Linked DNA regions of Pelodiscus sinensis. The protein of the gene in region 2 purifies or fractionates together with the protein of the main gene of each other region. This does not show direct contact. Links are inferred from orthologs where the notes say so. Each region holds a gene or a part of one and is shown on either strand. Other genes may lie near its edges.

Region 1 (7,058 bases), on a different chromosome or scaffold from region 2:
ATGGGATTTTACATCCCCAAATCAAAAGATGGAAACAAGTAAAATTTAAAAATGAATCAGAAAGAAATTAGAATAAAAACACTTCATAGGAGGTGAAAATGTATAATGTACCCTATGTACTCGATCATAAGTCAATTTTTTTTGTTAAAAAAAAAATCACACCATAAAGAGCGGTGGGTCATCTGTGCTACTACTTTATTTTATTTTATTTTTTTTAACTGGGGGGAGGGATTGGCAAACCTCAGTTTCCAGCCCAACAGGGCAAGCCACTGGCACGCTAGCATGTTTTACATACCTGGAGCATCTGCAGGAACAGAGCTCCTCAGCTCCCTCTGGCTGTTAGCTGTTCTGGGTCAACGGGAATGACTGCCAGACCATTCCTTGGCCCACACTGCTTCCTGCAGTACCCATTGGCTGTGAATGGCAAACAGCAACCAATGGGAGCTGAGAGGTTCCATGCCTGCAGATGCTCCAAGTACACAAATGTCTCAACAGGCCAACAGTTTGCCCTGCTGGGCTGGGAACTGACCTCTTCTCCTGTATTTTAAAAGTCAGAATCGAAACATAAGTTTTAGAACTTTTATTTTAATGCATCTAACCAAAAAAAGTATAATAATTGAACATATATGAACTCATATGGACTAATTTCGAAGAAATGTTTTAAAATCTCATATTCTAATGCATTTAAAGTTGTAAAACCTTTCAAACTCTGAATCAGTCTCCAATTTACCAAACAGTTCATTAAACTCAGCTTCAGTCATAGCTGCTCCTGCATTGTCATCAGCAATGTCATCCTGATTGCTTATCAGCCTCCATTGTGTCACGAGCGAATGTGGTACTGTCTTCTGACCCATCAAGCATATGGCTGATGCAGCGTTTCCAAAATGATTTTTCTATAATTTCTAAGAGAATGGACTCCCACGCATCCTTGACCACTGGGCAACCAGATTAATTTTGGGCTAGATAAGATTTCCGCCTTTTGTCAATTTCACCATGCCTGACCACATCCAGTCAGATCACATTTTGCATAGCCGGTCTTTAAAGGGATTGTTCAGGCAGACATTAAGGGATTGTAGAACAGAAGTTAGACCTGCAGGTATTACAGTTCAAGTAATTTTCATTTTTTTGGTCACATGCTTCACCTTATCCAACCTATGTGCCCTGAACATGTCCCATACAAGCATAGAAGGTTTCTAGAGAAATGTTTCTCATCACTGAACACTTTTTCCAAACAGTCAATAGTACCACTTTCATCCATCCATCCCTTCACATGTGCACATATGAGGATACCCCCATGAAATGTCATCGTTTTGGACAAGGTTTTTCTTTTCAAGAAACAGAATAGAGCCTTAATCCATTGGCCATATATGATAAAACTACTGTAAAAATGGATTATTTTTCATGGCCAGTGGTTTTAATTAAGACTGTTTTTTCACCAACACTAGTTACTCTTCTTTTGCTCAGAAGATCAAATGTCATCAATGTTTCATCCATATTTCCTATTTGTGACAACTCCGATTCATATTCCTTTTGATATTTTATAATAAATCTTCGGAAAGATTCAATTTTTTTCTTCCTGGTCTCTCAGCAGCTTTTGTGCTATCTTTGTTTATTGCTGAAGATAGAGACCTTGACAGTTCACGAAGCTAGTATGCCAAACTGTTGATGTGACAAACACCTATGGCTTTTCTGACTCGTGTGTCATCTTTTGACATTTGGAGAGCACACAGACAAATTCCAGTTCTAGTGACAAGGTACGCATTTTGTCATCATTCAACAACCCAATCGTTGCGACTTTTCCAGCCCAAGAAATGAAGCAAACCTTGTTGGACATTTTTTCTTGCTTCTTGGTATGTTTTTTAGTGTTGCTTTATTTTTTCACCATTCTCCTACCTGCTTCTCATTGATGCAGAATTTTTGAATAGCAGCACAATTATTGTTTCCTTTGCATATTCAACAAATTCAAGTTTAAATGCTGCATCAAACAGATCATTTTCTTTTGATTTCAACATTCCTCATTTTAAATGCTAGTATGAAAAAATAACTCCAGCACCTCACCCCCTGTCATCTAGAGAGTTCCAGGGTGGGGTAGCACCTAGCCCAGTGGCAACACAGGCCATGAGGGGGGTGATATTCTCTGTTCCATCAAATCCCCTTGCTTGGGGCCAGTCAAGTCCCGAGGGTGCCAGACCAGTGAAGTCCAATCTATATCAAGATATAGTAGACTTCCGATAATCCGGAACCTTTGGGACCTAGGTGGTGCCGGATTATCAGATATCCCGGACTCTCAGGAGGTACTATAAGATGGTTATATATATACACACAGTATATACTGTATATAAAGTGTTTTTAACCCTTTTTATTGTAGCACAAGCACTGTTCAGCATCACACAATACCAGTGGCAGACTGATTCAGTCCCGTCCGGTTTTGCTCGGTTCAGCTGCTGCCGCTGCTGCCTTGTGACTTGTTTTTTGCCGAAGATCACTCACTAGGCTCTTCTCATTTTGATGTAAGACTATCGGGAGCGCCATACAATGCGATGCCGGACTAAGTCTACACTGCCATGATTTTCCAAAAATGCTTTTAACGGAAAAGTTTTCCGTTAAAAGCATTTTTGGAAAAGTGCATCTAGATTGCTTTCGCAGAAAAGCATCCTGCCACTTTTTGCGGAAAAGCATCCGTGGCCAATCTAGACGCGCTTTTCCGCAAAAAAGCCCCGATCGCCATTTTCGCGATCGGGGCTTTTTTGCGGAAAACAGTACTGTGCTGTCTACACTGGCCCTTTTGCGCAAAAGTCTTTCGGAAAAAGACTTTTGCCCGAACGGGAGCAGCATAGTATTTCCGGGAAAGCACTGACGATCTTACATGAGATCGTCAGTGCTTTTCCAGAAATTCAAGCGGCCAGTGTAGACAGCTGGCAAGTTTTTCCGGAAAAGCTGCTGATTTTCCGGAAAAACTTGCCAGTCTAGACACAGCCCTGGGCTATGTCTACATTGGCCCCTTTTCCAGAAGGGACATGGTAATTTTTGAAATCGCAATAGGGAAATGCGCGGGGGATTTAAATATCCCCCGTGGCATTTAAATAAAAATGTCCGCCGCTTTTTTCCGGCTTTTAGAAAAGCCGGAAAAGAGCGTCTACACTGGCCCCGATCCTCCGGAAAAAGCGCCCTTTTCCGGAGGATCTTATTCCTACTTCAAAGTAGGAATAAGATCCTCCGGAAAAGGGCTTTTTTTCCGGAGGATCGGGGCCAGTGTAAACGCTCTTTTCCGGCTTTTCTAAAAGCCGGAAAAAAGCGGCGGACATTTTTATTTAAATGCCACGGGGGATATTTAAATCCCCCGCGGATTTCCCTATTACGACAGCTGAAATTAACATGCCCCTTCCGGAAAAGGGGCCAGTGTAGACGTAGCCCTGGAGTTTTACTGTACCTTATACCATTTTAGCTTAATTGCCTTCCCATATGGCAGTAAGCTTTACCAGTACAAGCACATTCATACAGTGGAGAAAGAGGGCCCAGTACCAGGGATGTTAGATAGCAGGTAACAGAATAGTTGACTAACCCCATGAAGTCTTAGTCAACTATCCTATAGTTCCAGGGGCAGTGCCAGCAGCCAGTGTGTTCTAGCCCCACTCCCTGGGCTGCCACCCCATGCTGCTGCCTATGTTTGTACAAGGGCTTGATGGAAGGGGGGAGAGGCAGCTGGGGGGGGGGGAAATAAGCAACAGCCCTGGATAATCAGGGGCAGCTGAGACAGGGCTGCTCTAAATCAATTAAGGGGCAGGTGAACTGATTTCAGGCTGCCACAGGACCTCTTTAAAAACCTTTCCTGTGAGGGAGGGTGGAAGAGAGTGGAGAAAAAGTTTGGAGAGTGGAGGTGGAAAGGAGCTAACAGCTGATAGGCAAATCAGAGGAGCTGAGCAGAACACCATCAACACTGCTAAGGGCTGCAGGAGGAGGTGGCAGGCTCCAACAGGGAGTGTTTGGAAGCTTCCTTCCTTCTAGATGGCCAGAAACTTCAGTTGGTGGCTGAGGAGGACTGTTTACTCAGCCTGACTGGCTGAGGGCATCGGCCTCAACACCCCTTTGTTTTGCCAAAGGACAGAAGGCCAAATGCTCAGAAAAGGCAAGTGGGACTTGTACCATGTCCACTAAACTGTAGGATAATGGGCAGAACAGGGGCCTGGGAGCCCGAAGTAGGACTGACCCTACCACAGGGTTCGTTTCAGCACCACCAGACCCTAGTTGCTGCTGCTGGGGCAAGTGCCAGCCTCTCCTGAGTGAGCGCCTTAAATCCATGGGTGGGACCACAAACCGTTTCCACATTCTCTCCTTATTTTCCCTACCAACTTGAGGATCCATGCCTACCACGCATATCAAGAGGAGATGCTGTGGGTTCCAGCAGGTAGGCCCAAAAAAGTGCGACTAGGGAAGTAATGGTGTAATTAACCGATAAGCAAAAGCTCATTGGTTAATGCTATGGATTACATGCACTTCCCCTACCTCCCCCTTCTGCCAGTACTTTTTTTTTTTTTTTTTAGTGGGCTAGCCAGCAGCCGTGCTCAGTCCCAGCTTGCAGTGTCTGGGACCTACCTCACTGCAACTCTGTGTTTAAAATGTATTAGGCGCTGGGCTGGCAGGCAGGCAGCCTGGCTCAGTCACAGCTCACAAGCTGGGTTATGTGAAGGTTTAACAAGGGAGGTTAGATATTGGGTAATTGAATAGCTGTGTAACAACATAAACTTTTTGGTTAGATCTATTCTATAGTCCTGAGGGGTGGCTCCTGGGAGCCCCCTGCCACCATGCGCTGCTGCCTCCGTATCAAAGGCAGTAGCATAGGATAACACAGCAGTAGTCCCTGACTTCGGGGGTCCAACCTCTCAGTGGACAGAGGCTGCTGCAGGGGGGAGGGGGAGAAGAGAGGCTAGGAACTGAAAAGGAGGCTACCATGAAGCAACTTGTCTGTGGCAGTCAGCTGGCCAGAGGCTGGTCCAGCAGCAGCCCCTTTCCAAGCTCCCTGTGGACGTGGGCTGCTGCCATAAAGCAGCCTCTGTCCACAGCCACCTTGGGCCGCTGCAGACAGAAGCTGCTTCGCGGAACGCAGAGCAGCCTCCATCCCCCTGTGGACAGGGGCTCCTTCACAGCAGCCTCCCCTATTCCCTTATGCCGCTGTGTCTCAGGCAGCAGCACATGGGGGAGGGGGAGTGGTAAGGGGAAGGTGGCATCGCAGAGCTGGTGCTGGAGGGTGGGACTGGCTTTCAAGCTAGCTCTCCACCCCAGCTGCCTGTGATAGAGGCAGTGGGGGAGGGAGAGAATGTGAGTAGTCAAGATGAACTGAAAAGCCTAGGCTTATCAATTAATTCTATAGTCAACTACTCATTGACATGTCTAGGCTTAACCAGTTAACTGGTGGGGCTGGAATAGTGGGCTGCTCCGGACCCACTGTGGTTGTGGGGGGACTGCCACGGACAGGGGCTTCTCCAAAAGTTTCAGCTCTGGGCAGGGGGCTCAGGCTTAGCTTCGGCCCTGAGTCCCAACATGTTGAATGCCAGCATGGAGACCCTATTAAAATGGGGTCCTCGGCTACAGCTGGGTCATATTGCAGTGACTCTGTGCCTCATACAGTGCAGATGCTCAGGTTGTCAAGGCTCCTTAGCAAGTGAGAGCAAATGCACTGGTGAATTTACTGTCAACTATGACTTTGGTCTGGGGTTTGGTGCTACTAGAGCTTCTATAGTGGGGGGGGAGGGAGGGAAGGGAAAAGGAAAAGCCACAGGTAGTGCTCTGAAGATGCACTACCCCCCCCCCCCCATGTTCCCAGCCAAAATTGTAATGGCTACATGGGGCAAGGCTACATGGGGAGCCCCCACATACCCTCTTCCTGCCCCTCTAGGTTCCCTTCCCTTCATTCTCTCTCCTCTTCCCCCCTCCAGGGGAGAAGCTGTCAGGTAAACAGCTGATTTAGAGCTCTCTTTGCCAAAATTAGAGAGTAAGGGGGACCGGGGTGGAAGTTTGGTGCTAGGGGCACAGGGTGGGTAGAGTTCTGACAGCAACGGGTTCAGTCACCGGGGAGATCATAATCTGGTTCACTTGGCTCAACAGGCTGGGATGGTTAGAACAGTATAAAGGGGTGTCGGCACCAGTCTACCCTTCTCCAGTTCAATTTTTAGCAGACGTGGTGAGCAGAGAGGTGGAGAAAACGGCGCAGCCTCAGGCAAAGAAGCCACGTAGCCAATTGTGGCGGTGGGGCAGCGGCAAGAAAAGGGGTCGCACGCACACTAGTGGCCACGGTGCCAGCAGCCAGGCGGGCCGTGCGGCGAGAGGAGCTGGGGCAGCCAGTAGTGGGGGACAGTGGGCACGGCGAGAAACCACTCAGCTCGCGGGGAGCTGGCACTGCCAGAAGAAGGGGGCAGGCGGCGCTGGGACGGGGATCCCGCTCACCTCGCAGGCTTTTCTGATACCGCTCCAGGTCGGACTCTTCCCGGGCTTCCCGCATACGGACAAGGTCCGCGTCTCTCAGCGCCAGGCGACACCGCACGGGCTCCGCTTCCCTGTCCCGAGTCAGCGTGTGAGGACCCAGCCTTTCCCTCCCGGCTTCGCCGCTTCCAACAGCGCTCGGGAGCCGTAGTTCCGTGTCGTTCGCCGTCCCATCCCCCACAGCGGGCGGCAGCTCTTAGCGGAACTACGATTCCCACACGGCTTTGCGGCACCCACCGCCCCTTCTAACCTCAACCCGTGTGGGAGCTCGTTGCTAACCAACTAGGAAAACGGTCCCGTCGGCCCCCAGCTGAGGTGAGTTACTCCCTTTCAGAGCTCCGCCCTTTAATACGTCTCGTACTCACGTTGCAGCGGTCTCAGACTACGTCTCCCAGCATGCAGCGCGCGTCCTTCTCTGGGCCCTCGGGAGTTGAAGTCCCTACGAGCAACGTCCTCCCCCACTTTAGAAGAGTTGTTGCGGCCTCGGTCTCTTTCCCTTTGTATGCGGTCAGATCGCACCTGCGCACTGTGCTGCTAGAGCGCAGCTTTCTTTCCCCGCAGCGCACGCGCAGTAATCCCGG
Region 2 (8,024 bases):
GAGGATGTTAGTTACTAATTGCAAGAGAATATAGTAAGAATATAGTAAGTTCCTTGTAAAATCTTACTGAATTAAGTCGAAGTCTCTTTGGGGTCCATTGTGCAAAATGCAAAATAAATCAAAATAGTGTAGAATAAAAAGGGATGGGAAGGCCACAGTCCAAAATATAAATTTCTCAATCCTCTTTTAATGGATTTATGGGCTTGACTGATATTTTATAGCTTATATAGATGGAAATGAATGTTTTGGACAGCTAGATTTAAAAAGCAACACAAGGTTGAAACCTTAGAGTATTAGAAAATGAGCCTTATGATGACAGACTGAAGAAACTCAATATATTTACCTTAACAAAGAGACAGTTTAGGAATGACTTGATTTCATTCTAAAAACAGCTACATGGGAAACAAATATTTAATAATGGATTCACTAATTTAAAAGAGAAAAGTATAACACAATCCAATGGCTGGAAGTTGAAGCTAGACAAATTGAGGCCTGAATTTGGAATTTCATACATTTTTAGTGGTAAAAGTAATTAATAATTGAAACAATTTACCATGGGCCATGGTGGATTCTACACCACTGACAATTTTCAAATCCAGATTGGCTGCTTTTCTAAAAGATATGCTCTGAGAATTATTTTTGGGAAGTTCTATAACCTCTGTTATTCAGGAGATCAGACTAGAAGATCACTAGATGAGTTTGAGCTCTTAGCCTAATTTAGAGAATTTCACAGTCCTCCTGTGTTTGCCTCTTGTTTGTTGTGTGAGCTGTAGTTATTACATTACAGCTTCTGTTGAAATATGTGTTCCAAAGTAGCTGCACATGGGACACAAAAGATTGCTCTGGATATTTTTGTGTTTAAAGGAGCTGTCTTTTAAGAAGAGTCATGTTCAAAAATTGTGGGAGTCCTCGAGACTTAAGATATTGATTCATTAGATGATCCTACCACAGTCCTCCAATTCTAGACTGATCCAATTATACCTAAGGCAGAAATCCTCACAAAATATTTCAAATATTATGCTAGAGCCTCTTTGCTGTTTGGTTAGATATCCCATTCTTAGCTAAATGGAGTGTGGAAAAATGACTGAAGCCATCTGACTGGATGATGTGTAAGACATTAAATCCTACAATTTCCGGTGTGTGTATTCATGCACACTCTTGGCTTAGACTGAAACACAACTCTTTGAAAGTTACTTAAAATCTCAAGTGCCAATGCTGCAACGAGAGCTGTGTGTGGGTAGGGTCTTATGCTACGTGGAGCACACTGGAGGGCTGGGGCCCACGCAATAAAAAAAAATCCCCATAAAGATCAATTAAAACCACCTCTACCAATAAAAGAGATTTGGACTCCTTCCCCTATCCCAGCACTCAGCTACAGCAAGACACACAGTACTAATCTCATGTCACTGCAAGACCTCCTTGCAGTGGAATGCAACTAAACTGTCACAGTCTTAAGTACCACTTTAAAGGGACATAGAATCACATTTTGCCCCAACTCACTAACATATTAGGCAGCAATGAAGTAGTTATGACAACTGGAGTTAATGATTTTTCGCATGGGCACACTGGAGCCATCACTTTCATCTAAGATGGTTATTAATTATGCCCCCCCTAGGGTCTTGTATTTTACTTGTATATATATATATATATATATATATATATATATATATATATATATATATATATACAGGCAGTCCCCGGGTTACGTACAAGATAGGGACTGTAGGTTTGTTCTTAAGTTGAATCTGTATGTAAGTCGGAACTGGCTTCCAGATTCAGCCGCTGCTGAAACTGATCAGTTTCAACAGCGGCTGAATCTGGACGCCAGTTCTGACTTACATACAGATTCAACTTAAGAACCCCAGGCATCCCCAAGCCAGCTGCTGCTGAAACTGATCAGCGGCTGATTCCAGGAAGCCCGGGGCAGGGGCTTCCTGTAGTCAGCCACTGGTCAGTTTCAGCAGCGGCTGACTTGGGGACGCCTGGGGCAGAGCAGCTAGGGTGCTGCTGGGTTGGTCCAGTAGCTCCGCCGCTCCTCGGCGCTACTGGACCAACCCAGCAGCACACAAGCTGCTCTGCCCCAGGCGTCCTGATTCAGCCGCTGCTGAATCTGACCAGCAGTGGCTGAATCAGGACGCCTGGGGCAGAACAGCTGGGGTGCTGCCTGGTTGGTCCAGTAGCGCCCAGAGCGGCGCTACGGGACCAACTGGCAGCGCCCCAGCTGCTGTACCACAGGTGTCCGGAGCAAAGCCATGGAGCACGGGGGCAGCGGGACAGCCCAGACGCGCCGTGGCTGTCCTGCTGCCCTCGGGCTCCGTGGCTTTGCTCTGCTTTGCTCCCCATCCCCCTGGTCTGCGGACCAGGGGGACGGGGAGCAAAGCGGCGGAACACGCGGGCAGCGCCGCTTTGCTCTGCTTTGCCCCCCCGTCCCCCTGGTCTGCAGACCAGGGGGATGGGGGGGGCAAAGCAGAGCCAAGCCGCGGAGGACGCGGCCAGCTGACAGCTGTCAGCTGACCGCGCGCTCCGCGGCTTGGCTCTGCTTTACCCCCCCCCCCCGTGCCCCTGGTCTGCAGACCAGGGGGACGGGGGGGGGGGCAAAGCAGAGCCAAGCAGAGCCAAGCCGCGGAGCGCGCGATCAGCTGACAGCCCAGACTCGTCTGGGCTGTCAGCTGGCCGGGCGCTCCGCAGCTTGGCTCTGCTTTGCCCCATCCCCCGTCCCCCTGGTCTGCAGACCAGGGGGACGGGGGGGGGGGCAAAGCAGAGCAAGCCTCGGAGCGCGTGGGCAGCGGACAGCCCTGTCCGCTGCCCACGTGTTCCGCCGCTTTGCTTCCTCTCCCTGGTCTGCTGGAGACAAGGGAGAGGAACGGCCCCGTTCGTAACTGTGGATCCGACATAAGTCGGATCCGCGTAACTCGGGGACTGCCTGTATATATATATATATATTGTGTTTTTAAAATTTTGTCAGCCACCTCAAATATTTTAAATATAGATTTGGGGTAAAAATATTTTAAATACATTCCCTAGAAATGCACTGCATCTTGATTATTCTTCTTCAATTATTTATATATGCTTGACAAAGCAATGTTAACAAAATAAGACTATTTGTCACTCCAGAGCTGTAGGATTGCTGTTAGTGAAAAATAAATCGCCCTGCCCACCATTATATTTGCCAATAGATAATCTTGGAAAGGGGAAGAGTTGAATATTTAAAAACCAGTGGTTTTTCTCACTGCTGTTACACTCTCACCTGGTTAACTCAGTGACAATAGACTTTGAAACTGCCCTGCCTTTCCTGTATTTACATGCCAAACACAAAAGGGAACTGGGCACGGTTTCTCTCTGTGGTGGAACTCAGCCTCTGTGCCTAGGAGGAGAGAAGGGAGTGGTGCAGACCGAAAGCTACAAAAGAAAAAACCAAACCACAACTGCGTAAAGAAAGAGGGCACATATCCAAGACATGTTTTTATTAAAAATTAGTCAGACAAGCCTTTTATATCCACTCATACACCTGTTAAAAACAAAAGTATGTTACAACCATCATAAATTTCTATCAGGAAGGCAGCTCCCTGCTTCCTGTTTAAAAATACATCTTTACCCAGTACTGGCATTATTAGCAACATGAATGATTCTAATCACTGGGGTTTTGATCATGCAAACAGATACAGACATGCTCCATTTTACTGGGACCATTTGAGTAAAATCACAGGTGGTGTGCAACTGATGGGCTCTTATATAGCATTTAAGCTGGAAATCGCAGATTTTGTTGCATGTGCTAGAAAAAAAAGTAGAATTCTGACAGATTCAAAGATGCAGTTGTGCTGAAACAATTTGTACAGTGGGGTTGCTGAGGCTGAAAGCCATGGAACAAAACTGTAAACCCTGCCTATGATAGAAATAATTTCAAAACATGGCACGCTGCAGCACCTTCCCCCCCTACCCCCCCACTTCCCTACTTCCGGCACCCATGAAAAGAGGCCATTAAACAACTTGGCTATGTCTAGACTGGCATGATTTTCCGGAAATGTTTTTAACGGAAAAGTTTTCTGTTAAAAGCATTTTCGGAACAGAGTGTCTAGATTGGCACGGACGCTTTTCCGCAAAAGCACTTTTTGCAGAAAAGCGTCCTTGCCAATCTAGACGCTCTTTTCCGCAAAAAAGCCCCAATCACCATTTTCACGATCGGGGCTTTTTTGCGGAAAACGAATCTGAACTGTCTACACTGGCCCTTTTGCGCAAAAGTTTTGTGCAAAAGGACTTTTGCCCGAACGGGAGAAGCATAGTATTTCCGCAAAAACACTGACAATCTTACATGAGATGGTCAGTGCTTTTGCAGAAATTCAAGCGGCCAGTGTAGACAGCTGGCAAGTTTTTCAGGAAAAGCGGCTGATTTTCTGGAAAAACTGGCCAGTCTAGACACAGCCCTTCTCTTATTTTCTTCTTCCCAGTCTCCATTTTGCCTCCCATCTATACAGCATTATTTTACATCCCTGTTTCTCTTAAAGTATGTCTGTCCAACTTTCCCAGCCTCATTTCAATTTTAACGTTTCTCTCTGCACCCCTGCTTCTTCAAGATGTTTCTCTGACCAAGCCTTTCTCCTCCCTCCTATTTTTACCTACTATCTTGTCTGGCTCATTTTCTCTTCTCACTATTCCTTTCATTTTTATCCCTTCTGGGTCTTTTAAGGCCCACACCCTCACAGGTATTTGCGATCAATGGAAAATTGGAGTGTAAATACCTTACAGGAGCGTCTGGCTCTACATTCCTGAAGGAATTGAGGCCAGAGCACCCGTCGTGAGCAGTCTCCCATAGGCACGAGTTAAGGGCACATTGGGAGGATCTGAGAGAGAGAGAGAAACGCAGAGGAGCAGTTTATAGGATCTTATTGCTGGGTGCGAGCTTCTCTATCGCCTGGGAAGAGGCGCTCTGAAATTCCTCAGACTTGCCTGCAGCATTGGGATGGCAGGAGCCTTGGGAGTGGGGAGAAGGGGAAATTTATGGAATCGGAGCGCACCCAAGCGTTCCCCAAAGGTTTGGGGGGAATGGGAAGTTCTGACCCCGGGAGAAGCGGCGGAAGTAAGGTAAGAAGGTCTCGGTGCGATCAGCCCCGCGGGGCGCTGTACGCCTGCTCCCAGCTTCGCGCAGCGAGGGCGGGGAGCAGGGAGGGGCCAGCTCCGGGCTGCATCCTGCCCGGACTTCAGTGCCCGGAGAGGAGCAAGGGAGCGGAGAGCGCCTGCCCCGAGCCGAGGGGAGCCGGCGGCTGAGCGGGTAAGGAGCCGCGCGCTCAGCCAGCTGGGGAGCAGACAGGGGCATTTCAGGGCGACTTGTTCCCCTGCACGGGGGCTGCTCGCCCCTTCCTGCCCCAGGTCAAAAGGCAGCAGCTGCCTCTCCCAGTCCCGGGACTGATCCCTGGAGGCCTTCAGTGCGCAGGTGTGGGAGCTGCTGATGTTTATGCCGGCTCTCCAGGGTGGAGGCTGACTTCCCTTCCCCTCCCGTGGGATGCGAAGCCTCTGGCGTGGATGCCAGCGACTAGCACAAGTGTCAGAAAGGAAAAGGGTCTGCCCACTCCTTGGCAGGGATGCTGCGGGTGCTTACAGGGGAGACTTGCAGTGGGTGAGACTGGTTACCAGCATGGCTCTGTTGGGAGATTTAGCAGCTCTTGGTGGTGGAGACGGAGAGCGAGGAGTGTTTGATTTTTTCCCCTCCACGCAGCAGCGCTAAAGTCGAATTAAGCTAGGCAACTTCAGCCACGTCAACTGTGTGGCTGAAGTCCGAAAAAGCTTAACTCGGCCTTAGGCACCGTCTATACAGCAGGAAGTCAACTTCCCTTACACTCCTGTGAAATGAGTCACAGGAGTCAGGGTAAGAAGTCGCCCAGTTTGACATTATTTTGAAATAAAGGCTTGTAGTGTATTCTGAAATAACACTGTGGTGGAGATATAGGCTTAGGCTGTGTCTAGACTGGCCAGTTTTTCCAGAAAATCAGCTGCTTTTCCGGAAAAACTTGCCAGTTGTCTACACTGGCCGCTTGAATTTCCGCAAAAGCACTGACTTCCTACTGTAAGAAATCAGTGCTACTTGCGGAAATACTACTCTGCTCCCATTCAGGCAAAAGTCCCTTTTACGCAAAAGGGCCAGTGCAGACAGCTCAGATTTGTACATTACAAAGTCAGTGCTCTTGCGCAAATTCAAGCGGCCAGTGTAGACAGCTGGCAAGTTTTTGCGCAAAATCTTGCCAGTCTAGACACACCCACTATGTTTGCAGTGCATCTCTAGCAATGAAGTGTTGCCTAATGGTGATTTCCTTAGCATGAGGATTACTGAGATGTACAAACTAGGGCATCAGTCCTGCAAAGATTTACATATGTGCTTAGCTTTACTCATAGATGTCAGTGGCATTATTCAGAGTATGTAAACCTAAGTATGTGCATAAAGCTTTACCGTATCAGAGCCTAATTCAGCTGTGTATCTTCTCTCCAACAATCTCAATAGAGATAAAAGTCAGAGGAGCCTCATGCAATTGTGAGCCAAGTCCATCAGTGGTGATGTCCAGGACATTTACAAGCTCTGGAGAGTGAGAGGAACCTTGACAGTTATAATTATGTTTTGCTGCTGTATCTAGGGCTGATGATACTTTTATTATAATTCTTTATTTTCAGGCACTTAGAACCCTGTAGGGGAAAATACCACGTGTGCTTAACAGTAAAAGTAAATGCCTCATTCAAGTTATTTCTACTGAAGGAACTAAACTGATAACTTCAAAAAATCTGAAATAAACATCTCAGCCATAACTGTTATTTTAGCTTTTTTCATAATCTTTACTTAATATAAAGATTTATTTCAGAGCTTGTTACTGTGTCATTTCTTGTAGTTACAGGTAAGACAGATAATTGCCTTTTGATATGAGGAACTTTGCTCTCTGTGACTATAAACATCCTTATTGCACGCAAAGACAGAGTAAATATTTGTATTAGGGATGTAAGCGACTAGTTGACTATCCGATAAGCATAAGCTCTAGTCACTTCCCACTCCCCTTGCTGCCTCTGTCACATGTAAAAACAGGAGCACAAATAGCAGTGTTCACATGTAAATACAGGATTCAAACAAACTTGCTGAAACATTCATGAGAACAAAATACCCCTATAAACTTTCTGAAGATGTTAATGAATCACAATTAAAAGGCAATTAAATGTATACTGGATATAATTGACTTAAATAGCTACTCATAGTTGAAATGAATGTTTGAGAACTGTGTTGCAGTTATCACCCAATTCTAACCTGTAGCATTGAGATGTATTCTGTACTGAAAAAAAGTTTACAACCAAGGGGAAAAAGTGTCTGTGTCATGCTGGTTGTCTAAAGATTAACTCTGAATGATCCAATTTGGATAATCAAATTCATTGCTGCCATTTAAAATAACTACAAAGCAGACAGCCCCTAGACTCTAAAGCTAGTCATGTAAGAGAGATTTCAATAAGCAGTTAATAGCAGAATGTGAAAAGGATAATCAAACTATGAAGCAAAATAGGTAAACTTCAGTGGGACCTATTCTGAAAAGCTGTTTATAGCTCATTGTCATGCTTATAGGGCGAATGGTGCTTTGGACTCTTTGGGTGTGTCTAGACTACATGCCTCCGTCGACGGAGGCATGTAGATTAGCCAGATCGGCAGAGGGAAATGAAGCCGCGATTAAAATAATCGCGGCTTCATTTAAATTTAAATGGCTGCCCCGCTCTGCCGATCGGCTGTTTGTCGGCAGATCGGGGCAGTCTGGACGCGACGCGCCGACAAAGAAGCCTTTCTTGATCGGCACAGGTATGCCTCGTGAAACCAGGTTTACCTGTGCCAATCAAGAAAGGCTTCTTTGTCGGCGCGTCGCGTCCAGACTGCCCCGATCTGCCGACAAACAGCTGATCGGCAGAGCGGGGCAGCCATTTAAATTTAAATGAAGCCGTGATTATTTTAATCGCGGCTTCATTTCCCGTCGATGGAGGCATGTAGTCTAGACACACCCTTTTAGTCCTTC

The links. Proteins that work in one complex are often made in the same cells at the same time.
Region 1: the proteins of CCDC68 (region 2) and CEP170 purify together in Homo sapiens (co-immunoprecipitation; 3 studies listed by BioGRID and IntAct, counting the BioPlex papers as one, with this or other methods). This does not show direct contact. The link is inferred for Pelodiscus sinensis from reciprocal best matches to the Homo sapiens genes CCDC68 and CEP170.

Annotation. Positions count from the first base shown.
Region 1 is NC_134713.1:131,575,449-131,582,506, reverse strand, and holds the start of CEP170 (centrosomal protein of 170 kDa), read left to right. Parts: upstream 1-3,986; 5' UTR 3,987-4,126; intron 4,127-6,441; coding exon of another isoform or gene 6,442-6,496; exon of another isoform or gene 6,497-6,576; intron 6,577-6,688; exon of another isoform or gene 6,689-6,792; intron 6,793-6,842; exon of another isoform or gene 6,843-6,993; intron 6,994-7,058. Other genes in the region: SDCCAG8 (serologically defined colon cancer antigen 8), read right to left, coding at 6,442-6,496.
Region 2 is NC_134716.1:112,343,856-112,351,879, forward strand, and holds the start of CCDC68 (coiled-coil domain-containing protein 68), read left to right. Parts: upstream 1-4,937; 5' UTR 4,938-4,957; coding exon 4,958-5,079; intron 5,080-5,110; exon of another isoform or gene 5,111-5,266; intron 5,267-8,024. UniProt on the Homo sapiens protein: Centriolar protein required for centriole subdistal appendage assembly and microtubule anchoring in interphase cells. Together with CCDC120, cooperate with subdistal appendage components ODF2, NIN and CEP170 for hierarchical subdistal appendage assembly.